2 linked regions of the Mus musculus genome follow. The protein of the gene in region 1 interacts with the protein of each later gene in a biochemical or structural test. Links are inferred from orthologs where the notes say so. Each region holds a gene or a part of one and is shown on either strand. Other genes may lie near its edges.

Evidence for each region.
Region 2: of the proteins of Eid1 (region 1) and Fbxo21, one has a biochemical effect on the other in vitro, tested with the Homo sapiens proteins (2 studies listed by BioGRID, with this or other methods). The link is inferred for Mus musculus from reciprocal best matches to the Homo sapiens genes EID1 and FBXO21.

Annotation. Positions count from the first base shown.
Region 1 is NC_000068.7:125,670,799-125,677,000, reverse strand, and holds Eid1 (EP300-interacting inhibitor of differentiation 1), read right to left. Parts: upstream 3,810-6,202; coding exon 3,330-3,809; 3' UTR 1,358-3,329; downstream 1-1,357. UniProt on the Homo sapiens protein: Interacts with RB1 and EP300 and acts as a repressor of MYOD1 transactivation. Inhibits EP300 and CBP histone acetyltransferase activity.
Region 2 is NC_000071.6:117,974,688-117,980,913, reverse strand, and holds the start of Fbxo21 (F-box only protein 21), read right to left. Parts: upstream 4,145-6,226; 5' UTR 4,114-4,144; coding exon 3,875-4,113; intron 3,057-3,874; coding exon 2,921-3,056; intron 1,174-2,920; coding exon 1,079-1,173; intron 1-1,078. UniProt on the Homo sapiens protein: Substrate-recognition component of the SCF (SKP1-CUL1-F-box protein)-type E3 ubiquitin ligase complex.

The sequences.
Region 1 (6,202 bases):
GTAGAAGATACAACACAAGTAAATTCATCCATCCATCCATCCATCCTGACCTCAGAGTATCTGTATCTGTAAGCTGTGGTGCTGGTTTTACTTGCATATGGCACCATGGGGTCTCGCCGTGTTTAGGGATGACATCTTACTGAGCTACTCAAATTGTTCATTGTTTTTAGGAGGCAAAGCTGGAGATAAGACGACAGTCTCATGTGTAGAATCTAATAATCATTTTCTTTCTGTTTTTGAGACAGACTCTCTCTAAGTCCTGACTGTCCTGGAACTTGCAATGTAGATCAGACTAGCCTTGAACTCATAAAGACTAGCCTTGATCCTGCCCCCTAAGTGCTGGGATCAAGGGTATGTGCCACCATGTTCAGCTAATAATTGTTTCTTAAATGGCCCCTTCCATGGGGAGGGCTAAAATGACCTGGGGAGTGTAAAAGCAGTGGGGCTGAGGTGCACATGGTGGTGAGGCATCGTCTAGTCTGTTTCTGCTCCCCACTATCCTTTAACCTGAGGTGTGCTGTGTGACTTTTGCTCGGGAGATGTCAACAAACATCTGTTCACCCCACCTAAGGCACTGGGATGACAAACCAGTCAGTCCCACCCACACCTAGTTTTGTGAGCAGTGACTGATGAGACTACTTACAGGAGAATGGATGAGGGGTACTTACAGGTGCATGGATGACCCGAAAGGAAGCTGCATTGGGAGGCGGGGGTGGGGGTGGGGTGGGGAGTGTTCATCCAGCAAGGATGAGAACTCACAAAAGCCGCATCTCTGAGGCTTCCTCCAAAACTTGCCCTAGCTGGGCTTTTTAGAAATTCTCAGAGATGTCTTCTGAACTCCATGTGTACCATGGTATGAGCATGTGAAGTGCACACACACACACACACACACACACACACACACACATCTTAAAATAAAAATGCCAGGCATGTTGGCACATGCCTTAAATCCCAGCATGCAGGAGGCAGAACTCTGTGTGTATGAGCCCAGCCTGGTCTAGTTCTAGGACAGCTGGAGCTACATAGTGAGACCCTATCGCCACAAAACTAAAGATAAATACAAGAGGGTCCAGTGAGTAAAAGAGTTTACTACCACGCCTGATGACCTGTGTCTGATCCCTAGGCCCCACCCAAATGCTGGGAGAGAAGCAACTCCTGAAGGTTATTTTTTGCCCTTTGCTTACTGTGGCATGAATCTCCCAGATAGATAGATAGATAGATAGATAGATAGATAGATAGATAGATAGATAGATAGATAGATAAATGCAGAATAAAGGATACAAAGAAATACCAATGCATGGCTTCTCCTCTTAACTTCCACGATATACTTTGGTCCCCAAACACAAATACACTCAAATTTATGGATATTTGTATTATATTTCTGTGGAGATGTGAACAAAAGTCTATTTACAGCAGGTAAATACCAATAACAGATCAATAAATGATTCCCTCAAGTCCAACTAGTGAGGCAATTTATTGGGTGAGTAAAAAAGAGGGCTGAGGGGTTACCCATGGAAGTGTTTGTAGCGGCTCTATCTAAATGTCCTACCCTAACATGGGTGACAGCTTCCCAAACACGAGTCCCCACCTAACATCAGCCAACCTCCCACCTTTTGTGTTTTAGCACCTTCTGAAACCACATGTAACCGGGGCAAAATTATGTACAGGTGCTTTGGAGGTACAGGAGCAACTAAAATCCCAGGTGAGGGTCTAAAATTACTAACAGGCCTGCCCAATCTTGGGGGAGGTCTCTCTCCCTCCCTCCACCACATGGACCCCAGAGATCAAACTCAGGCCATCAGGCTTGGCTATATGGCAGAAGGTACCTTTACCCACTGAACCACCTCGGCAGCCTCTCAAACAAGATGACTGTAAAACCAACCAACCAACCCCACAGAAACCCAGGAGTTATCCTACTGTCTCAGCTCTGTTCTGTATTGGTTGCCATGGTGGCATCAGCAGGGACATCGTGCTAATACATCATTTTCTTCTCAAGGAACTTCAGCATCAATTAAGCCATAGCATCACATTCACAGAGCGGGTCTTCCAGAAAACTCTGAAATTTGCTTTAACATCCCAGAACCCATTTTTTGGATATTTGATACTGGTTTACATTGTAAGCATTGGATGTTTAAATATCAAGATGGAGGCGTGGCACACACAGCAAGAGAATCCTGTATAAAGCATGTATGCAAAGCTATTAGACAAAGCAAAATACACAGAACAAGAAAATTTATTATCGCCAATGCTGGTGCATAAAGATTAACAAGCATAATTAGAAGAAGGGAGGGGGAGGGGAAGAAAGAGGCAGAGAGGGAGAGAGAGAATATGAATATCAGACACCCAGGTGGACTTCTGGGTAGGTTTAAAACCTTCAAAGTTTGACAACATAATAGCTCATACATCTTTTTATAGATACAGGCAGGATTTCTTTTTACTTGACAATTTTAGCAAACAGTTCTTACAATATGAACTTCAGTTATAGTCTTACCATCTGTCAAGGTACAAAACAGCAAGTGAAATTTCCCTAGTATAAAAGGGTATTAGAAAGTTTGTCTTTGGGCTTTCCCATACATTTTATTTAATGCATGAACTTAAAACCTTAAAAAGACATCCTGTTTCTTTCTTTACTTTGAAAATCATTACAATGGGTTTTTCCAAATTAGAGGTCACAGTAGCTTTATAAATCATGAAGATACATGTGCAGTCAAAATTCCAGAAGCGTTTGTAACACATTTTAAGATGACAGCACACATGATAACACGTCTACATTTATACCCACATTTACTTGGACTACTCTGTGGGGTAGATGAATACTCAATCTTAAACCTCAAGTTTAGCTTTTGATAACTGATGTGTATAAATCACCAAAAAGAATTTGGAAAGTTTTTTTTTTTTTCAATAGCCTTTCAGTTCGAATTAAAGACATCTTGGAATGTATTTCCCCCCATTCTTTAATTAGATTCTTGTATTGGTAGTCACAATTTACTCTTCCAAACCATCTTTAAAAGCTTAACAGAGAAAGCTCTTCTCCAATGTAAGGAAAATCATCTCGATCAACAGTCTGAACCAGAGGTTTTTGCTGAGCCCCTGTGAGACCAAAGAGGAACGATTTGGTCTTTTTCTCCTCGCGATTCTCAGGTTTAACACTCCTCCTTCCTCGATTCTCCTTTTCCACAATGCATGGTCATTCACTGTCCCGTCTTCTATTCCGAGAAACAAAAACCAACTGTTTTTATTTTTTGCACAGAACTATTTGGAATGAACCCCAAAATAGCAGAATGTTGAATCTCTCCCTCTCAGGTAGTTTCCTCCTCTCTCGTCAGCATTTACTCTCGATCAATGATCTCATCACAACCGAGCTCTTCGGTCAGTCGATTGACAACCATCAGCGAAAACAGCTCTTCGATAAAAGCTAGCTGGTCGAAAGGGCTCTTCTCACACCGCGCCTGAAAGCCGCCATCCAGGGCATCTCCGGCTCGCGCGGTTCGCAGGAACACCTTGTTGGCTTCCTCCAGGGCGGCGGACACCCTGTGCATCGCGCCGCTCCAGCGCTCCTCTTCAGGGAACTCGTAGTCGTCCTCCCAGTCATCAAACTCGTCGCCTTCCAGGTCCGCGCCAGCCTCGGGGAACAGACCGCGCTGGGCGCGGGCGGCGGCCGGCCCGGCCTCCTCCTCCATGGGGCCCTCCTCCGGGGCCGGCCCGCGGGCCCCGCGGCCTACCTCCATATAGCCCTCGCCGGGCAGCACGTCCATCTGCAACTCGTTGCTTTCTTCGTACAGCTCGCAAAGCTCTGCCATCTCCGCCATGGTGGAAGCGACTCGACCAAGGTGGAAAAAAAAAAGGAACCTTTTGCAGAGACGGGCGCGCGAACGGGCGTGGTGCGCGTGCGCAGGCAAGAGGGCGTGCGTGGAGCGCGAGCTGGGGGGGGGGGGCGCGTGCGCAGGCGAGTGGGCATGCGTGATGCGCGTGCGGAGCACGTTTCACGTGCGCAAACGGGTAGGCGGGCGTGGTGCGCGTGCCAGCATGGCGTGCGTGTGCTGGCGAGTAGGCCGCTTGGTCCACGGGGGGGGGGGGGGGCGTGGTGCGCGGGCGCGGGCGCGGGCGCGAGCTCTTCCCTTCCCACCCCTCACCCCCTATGTTTCCCGGACTCCCACCTCACCCTCACACCCACTCAGGACCCGCGATGCTTCCGCTGGTGACCCACCTGGAGACCAGCTCTAAGTTCCTTGCCAAGTGCTTGCTTTGCCTAGATGGAAAGCCCTGGCCTTCTGTCACAGATGCCATCTCTCCTCCACCTCCCTGCCTCCCCAGCGTTCCTGTGATCAGCATGTCCATTACCTCTCACCATTTCAAATCCCACTAGTCCCGTCCTGCGCACTGAGAAAATTTAACTTTTCGGTTTTTTTCTTCTGAATTTATTGAAGTTGACCTAACCAAAGATAAATTGTGTGTATGTCCACACGTATATACCATGGGGAAACTAAACCACATACATGTGTGAGTACTAGGATAAAGAAAGGTGGAAAATAGGCTATACATATTTTAAATATATACAGATAATCACGCGCCACGGTTGCTCTACAAACTTAAACTGTAGCCAATAGTGTTTGAGAATATCCACACCCTTACCACGTATTGTTTTATGGAATTAATATAAGTAAACTTAAGTTTTATCAATTTGATCTCTCTTTCGTGTGTATGCGTTTGTTTGCCTGTCTGTAATGTTTGTGTGCCACGTGTGTGCATTGTGCCTACAGAGGCCAAAAGAGGGCGTTGGAACTCCTAGAAACGAAGTCAGTTGTACACTGCCCTGTGATTACTGGGAGTCGAACCCTGGTCCTTAGTGTGAGCAGCCGATGCTGTTTACTGCTGAGCCATTTCTCCAGCCTTGATTGTATCTTTATAATCTTTCCATAGCTTTAGTTTATTATTCGTGGATGCAATGGCCCTGTCATGTCCAAGAGACAATGCTCCATAGCATTCCTCTTTATCTTATATAATTTTTGCCAATGGTCATTTTTTATATTCTTCAGCGAACTTTTCTCCAAAGTGTTACATGATCCTTACTAGTTTTACATACTTGAACATATTTGTATGAAATCTTCCTCTTTATCCATTAAATGAAGTTTCTCATGAGCTGTTATTGGAATATAATCTTTGCATGTTGATTTTTGTTCTTATTGAAATGTTAATAGAGAAAAGTGCACAGGTAATGTGTGTGGCTTAATTATCACAAGCTACATATATTTGTTTACTTACTACCCAGAAGAAAAGGCATCATTCGTGGATCCCAGAAAACCACTCTTCTCTCTTTTTGTGCCTCGTGAATAACCACAATTCAGACTTTATGCAAATAGTTCAATAAAAAGTTTGCCAGTTTTGATAAATGAAACGATGTATTGATATATTCTTTGTTTTGACTTCTTTTTTAACCCAACAAATATGTTGTCATATTTTAAGCAGTCTACTATTTGAATATCACAATAGTCACCTTCAGGATTGCTTCTAATTCAGGGCTATTATAAATAGCCTAGTTATTTCATTTCCTAAGGAAACATCTTGTTGCACAACTTTATTCAATTATTGTTGAGTATGCTTCTAGGAGCAGTTTTGCTTGGCTGTCTTGTATGTACAGCCTTCGTAGGTTCTGCCTCACAGTTCTGCAATCAGGATTCATTGGTAGTTGCATAGCTGGCATTTTAATTAACCTTTAAAACCTATACAAGTCAGTTATTGCACTGTGATTTCCAAACACAAGCAAACAAATTAGAATCTCCAATAAAACAATCATTTTGGGTTAAATTAGTGCAGTTATTTGGCTAGTGATATCAGAAGTCTTTATGTTTTTCAATCGTTTTTAGGTTTATGTGTGGGTGTTTTGCCTACTTGTGTGTACTATGTACATGTTCTGTGCCCCTAGAGGCCAGAAAAGGGCTTTGCATCTTCTGGAACCAGAGTCACAGGTTGTTTGAGACAACATGTTGGTACTGGGACTGGAACCAGGGTCCTTAACCTCTGAGCAACCTCTCTATCCCCCATGTTAGAAATCTTAATATTAGTGTGTTTGGATACATAGTAGTGAATAACTAAACAAAAGTAAATACACTAAGTCTATAAACAGAAAAAATAAATAAGAGTATGAAGGGAAGGGGGGAAATGTTCTGGTTAAATTGATGACACATGTTTCCAAGTCTGCTTT
Region 2 (6,226 bases), on another chromosome or scaffold:
CCCAGGCACTGAATGATGGCACTTCACCTCTTCCCAACTCCCCACCCCCCACCCCCAAAACACTGTCCCCTCCGGACATTCATCTTTATCTCCAACTTTTAGAATAGAAGGTCTCTCCTTAGGCTGCAAGTCAAGTCACCAGTGTACTGGAAATGAAGCTTTTCGGCAGAAAATACAAAACATACCCATTCAAAACAACAGTAAAAGATAAGGGGTCATTTTTATGTTAAGCGATGATATGTCCATGACTGCACTGAGAAGGTCAAAAGAGGGTTCAGATTCTGTGGCACTGGTGTTATTGGCGCTGGGAGCCACCCAATGTGAGTGCTGGGAACTGAAGTCAGGTCCTATGTCCAAGTGGAGCAGTTCATACTGAGCTGTCTGTCTCTCTAGCCCGCAAGGGGCTCTTCTTAATCAGAAGTGTGTCTGTGGAGAACACAGGCTCACCTTCCCCTGCCCCTTAAATGGGCCCCCCATGGCTAAGTGCATGTAGGGAATTACTATTTAGATACCTACAAGAAAAGAGGTCTTCCCGTGCTCAGTAAAGCCACACGTGAGCGTATATAGAGGCCTGTGGTCGATCAAAGGTCTCATTCCTCACGAGTCATATGCACTAGCTTTAGAGACAATCTCTCGATGGAGTTTGGTACTCTCTGTGTGCCTAAGCTGGTGGCCATCAAGGCCAGCACTAGAATGGCCACTGCATGACACGGGAGCTCAGATTTGGGTCTTCACTGACTGTCTCCCCGGCTCCCCTGACATTTTTTTTTTTCAAAAGACTTTATCTGTATCCCAGGATGTTCTGAAGCTCACTATGCAGCGCTCTCTCAAAGCTGCCGCTTCTCCTGCCCCGACCTCCTGAGCACTGGGACTTCAGGGGTGAGCCACCTGTCAACTGTGCACCCCGGGAGTAGGTGTACACAAAGCTTCTCAGAGCATAACTGTGGCATAACATAAACTATCTGGAAACACCGCAGCTCCCTCGCTCGCTCGCGCAATCTCTCTCTCTCTCACTCTCTCTCTCTCTCTGCCCCACAGCAATTCCCTCTGCAGTTATCCTGGTGAAGCTGTGCCTTACCTTCCTTCCATGTTTAGGATACACACCAGCTCATCCTCAAAAAAGATCTCTGGGCCCTCAAGGTTTTCAATGTCACTGAAGCCATTACAGGGGACCTGTGGAGAAGACACACACAGGAGGCCTCAACCATGAGTTAGCGTGGCTGACCCTGGCAGACACATAGCTGAGAGTCCCAAGGGAGGGAGGCCACACATAGAGCAGTGACAGCGGCTCTTACACACAGCCTCCTAGGGCCTCCAGGGCAGAAAGCAACCAACATGGCAGCCACGGCACATTCAGACCTGGCACCCGTGGCTACAGCCTCACACTCACACAGTCCGAGTTTCCGAGCCTGCTAAGGAGATAGATGTGTGTTAAGTGGATGGTATGTGTGTAGAAGTGGTGGTCCATTAAGACTCTTGGGTTAACATCCTGGGATTTTTCCCAGTTTCCCTTTTGAAAGCAGCCAGTGTTTCAGGTTGATTTGTGTGCACATGGAGAAAACAAGAAAACCAGTGTGCTGAGCCAAATTGATCACCCATCTATGCATCCACCTCTAACTGTGCCCCTGCTGCGTTCAAAGTCCACCACACGTTCTAATTAAGTAAGCAGTGACACAGGGAAGGGGGGGGAGTAGAGTTCACCGATCCATCATTATTAGAGAAAAGCACACACAACCACAGGTGGATCCCAGGGAGAGCCTGTGAACCAGTGGCTTGTGACTAACTGTATCCCACATGCCCCGCATCAAAACACCTGTGTGTGCGCACATTTAAGCCAGGACTGAACACTTGTAGTTACTGACTGGCAGGGGCACTGTTCCAGACTGAACCAAACCTTGGTTCATTCTGCCGTTAACAAGCATTTCTATAAACAAATTGGGGGGTGTCTATTTGTAGTTCCCATTGGGGACTGAGTTAAAAATGTGTTCAAAGTTCAGATCTGCTCTTTCAAAACTTGAAACGCCTTGAAAACGCTGCTCATAAACTCCTTTAACAGCAGAGTGGGAAATCAGAACTAACCTTCAGAAAATAACCTTCACCAACCTAGAAGAACTAAACAAGCACTGTCAGCTACACTGGTCGGCTCACAATCTGCAGGGACTGGAAATACGAGAGGGGACAATTCCCTAGCCCTACAAAAAGTAGTGAATGGAACGGACACCGATTTCCATGGGACATTTCTGGACAAGGGAGAAAAACAACGACTAACTCCGAACCTGAAAAGAAACACACATCTCAGCCCTTACAGAAAAGCGACACACGACTCGAGCCAGGCTTGAGGCTGCCTCCTGGGAATCGCAGTCCTCAGGAGGCTGGACGGGAGTTCAAGGCCAGCCTGGGCCGCATAGTGAACCTCCTCTCTCGGAACAAAGAGCCACAGTGATAAACAGAAATGCTCAATGGCTAGGAGCAGCTACGGCAGCTTTTAACCTTGGTTCCTTAAAAAGGCAGTTCCCTGCACGGCATGCACTTCTGCAGCCTCCCTGGGAAACAGGCACCAAGAGGTTGACAGTGCATAAAGCGCCTAACAGTCTCAAAGAGTAAGGCTTCTCTGGACCTAGTGGACACCGCCCTGTGTCCCTTTCCGCTCCTCAACACCCCACTCCCTCTGGCTTTAAAAAAAGTAGGGCTAGCAGGGACAAATGGCTCCGTGTTGTTGGACGGGAGGAGAGGGGACACAATGACTCTTATAAGCATGCAAGCAAAGGGCTGTGTGAGCAGTGAAAAGGGAAATAGGAACAAGAGCTGAAAAGCTATGGCAGGCACACACGAACGAGCGCGTGCGCGCACGAACACACATACACACACACACACACACACACACACACACACACAGAGCATGACCAAGCCTGATGCTTACGTGCTCTGAAAAGAACCGCTTGGAGAAGGAAGCTACAATCTTCCGGGCTTCTAACCCAGCTTTCTGCCGAACTTTATATTCCTCTAACCAATTGACGTAGTCGGTGGGGCTGTAGTGCTTCATCAGGGAGGGCCACCTATAAGGGGGGGGGGGGGAGAGAAAACACCCTTTCTCAGCTCCGCAGAGACTGCAAAAAACCACGGAGGAGTCTGCGGGCAAGGGGGGGGGGGTGGACTTGGCAGAGGCTCTAGTTGCAATAATCATAGCGTATGCAATGCATTCCCTCACTACTCAGATGCAGTGACCTTGGCGTGGCGACACGAAAGGCAGCGTTTCTACCACCAGTAGCCGCCGCCCCCCCTCCGCCCCCCAATCTCTGCGCTGGCCACAATCACAGTGATGCTAACGGTTCTCGTGGATGGCGCGCCTCCCTCAGCATCAGGCCCTGCAAACCCGGGCCTCATCTTATTTGATTCCCCATAATGGGAAAAAAAAAAAAAGGAGGGGGGGTCTCATCACCGACCAGGAGACCCAGGCTCTGGAGAAGGGAGGTGGACCGACATCACCCCCTCCACCCCCAAGGTCACGAGCTGGACTGGCAGGTCCGATGCCGGCATCCTAAGGAGCTAGCCAGGAATGCACGCACCGCTGCTTTGCCTGCACGTCAACATCCTGCAGCGGCCACAAAAGATGCGCCTCCTCCTGCAGCCGGGAGGCGCGTGAAGGCCGCAGCCCCCCGGGGCGGAGCGCTCCGGAGGCCCCGGCCTCGGGCGGCTGCCGCGACCCCATCGGAGCTCCGGAGGGGGCCCCCCGGGCTGCAGGCAGGCCTTTGTCTGCGGCCGCGGGAAGAGGGCGGCGCGCGGCCCGGAGGCCCGGAGGGTGGCGGGGTGGGGCCCCACGCGAGGCCCGGCGCCGAGGGGCTCTGCGGGTCCCGGGAACGGGATGCTCGCTCACCTCACCCGGAACTGCTCCTTCCACACCTGCCCGCTGCTCTGGCACACCTCGCGCAGGCGGCGGCAGGTGCTGGACACGCGGCCGATGTCCAGCGCCGTGAGCGAGCCGCTGCACAGGATGTACTCCAGCACCTCGCCCGGCAGCTGCACCAGGCAGCTGGGGCCCGTCGCCTCAGCCGCGGCCTCCTCGGCCAGCGCCGGCACCACCTCCATAGCGCTGTCCCCCGCTACCGACGCCATCTTGTCCGCGTACCTGAGGGGGCCGCTGTGCGGGCGGGCGCGCGCGCGATAGGAGCCTAAGAAGCCGTACCACGCCCTCAGGGGGAGTGGCTGGGAACGCCCCGCCCACGCCAGGGGGTCCCGCCCACTCCGCTTGGAGGACTGGGAAGAGCCAGAGGCGAGAGCTGGCTGCTGCTGCAGAGATAAATGGTCCTTTCGCGTCCTGATTCTCCCAGGGGCATTTTTAAAAATGATAGCTGGGTGCTCGTCTTCGGCAGCGCAGATACTAAAACTGGAACGATGCAGAGATTTGCATGGATGCTGCGCCTAGGATGACACGCAAATTCGGGGAGGCGGTGGCACCTTTGATCTCCGCATTTAGGAGGTGGAAGTAGGCAGATCTCAGAGTTCGAGGCTAGCCTCAGCTATAGAGCGAGTTCCATGACAGCCAGAGATACACAGAGAAACCCTGTCTCGAAAATAAATATATCGAGGTTGCCCGGGCAGTGGTGGCGCACGCCTTTAATCCCAGCACTTGGGAGGCAGAAGCAGGTGGGTTTCCAAGTTCGAGGCCAGCCTGGTCTACAGAGTGAGTTTCAGGACAGCCAGGGCTACACAGAGAAACCCTGTCTCGAAAAACAAAACAAAACAAAACAAAATTGCCCTTTGGCCTTCACCTTCTCGATGGGACATGAGTCCACATAGACAATAACTAAAAGTTAAAAATGACTATGGTGGCTTACTTCCTAATTCCCAGCTCTCAGGAGACCGAGGCACGCAGATCAAAAGTTGGGCTATCTATATTAAGATCCGATCTCAAAAGCAATTTGAGACAGAGTCTGATGTAGTCCACTCTGGTCTTGAATTATGTATTGGAGAAGGACCTTGAGTTTCTGGCCCCCCTGCCTTTACCTCCCATAGCTTGTATTAAAGGCATACACCACCAAGATGTACTTCAGAGGTGGTAGTGCGGGGGTGAAACCCAGGGCTTGGTGCCGGTTAGCCATGCACTTTACAGCCATGCCATAGTCCCAAAATTAAGCTGTTGAAAATGGCTATCTTATACCAAGCACTTCCTGGAAGTGATTTGGCCTTCTCCACGGGTGACTCACTCTCCACTGGGTACTGAGGCAAGCATACTATTTGTTTTTGGGGACCCCTATTTCTAGCTCTATGATGGTGTGGAGAATAGTAGTAACCCCTGAATCTATGTCCTGATTTGAAGCAGGTCGAAGTATCGTGGGGAGCTCTCCTCTGTGTGACTGGGCTCCTTCAAGCCGCTGATCCCTTTGACTCTGCCTCCCAAAATGCTGAGTGTGATTTTAGAGGTGTTCATGGTGTCTGCTTTTAATTGTCTTCCACTCAACAATCCTTCATGATTTGGGGGACATATATGCCCTCTCTGGCAATACAACAATTACCATATGCTCTGGCTGTCCTGAAACTCACTTGGTAGACCAGGCTGGTCTCGAACTCAGAAATCCACCTGCCTCTGCCTCCCAAGTGCTGGGATTAAAGGCATTCGCCACCACCGCCCGGCTGCTTTATTTTCTTAATGCATGTGTGTGCACATGTGTGTATATGTGTGTGTATGTGTGTGTAAATGAGAGCACGTATGCCTGCATGTGTGTGCATATGTGTGTGCGTGTGATTGAAGGTCAGAGGAGAATCTCGCTTGGGTCTCATCTTTAGATGAGCTTTTATTTACATTTTAATTTATTTTGTGTGCTCACGTGACCAAGCCAGCTCAGTCCGTCAACAGGTTCTCCAGCGAAGGAGTGAGGATTAAAAAGAAAAAGGACAGACAACATTGTAGCATGACCCCAGCCAGTTCTGAGGCTGAGGTGGGTTTATTTTTTTCCCAATCTGCTTTTATACCATTCTAATTCCATGCAAGTAACAAGGTCAAGCAGTACAATAAACACAAATAGTCAAGGAACAAGCACTGTCCTTGCTTTAATCCCAGCACTTGGGAGACAGAGGCAGGCGGATTTCTGAGTTTGAAGCCAGTCTGGTCTACCGAGTGAGTTCCAGGACAGCCAGGGCTACACAGAGAAACCCTGTCTCCGCCCCCCACCCCCATCCCCAAAGGCAATAAACAAAGTCCTGTGATCACTCCTTTGACCACTGTTTT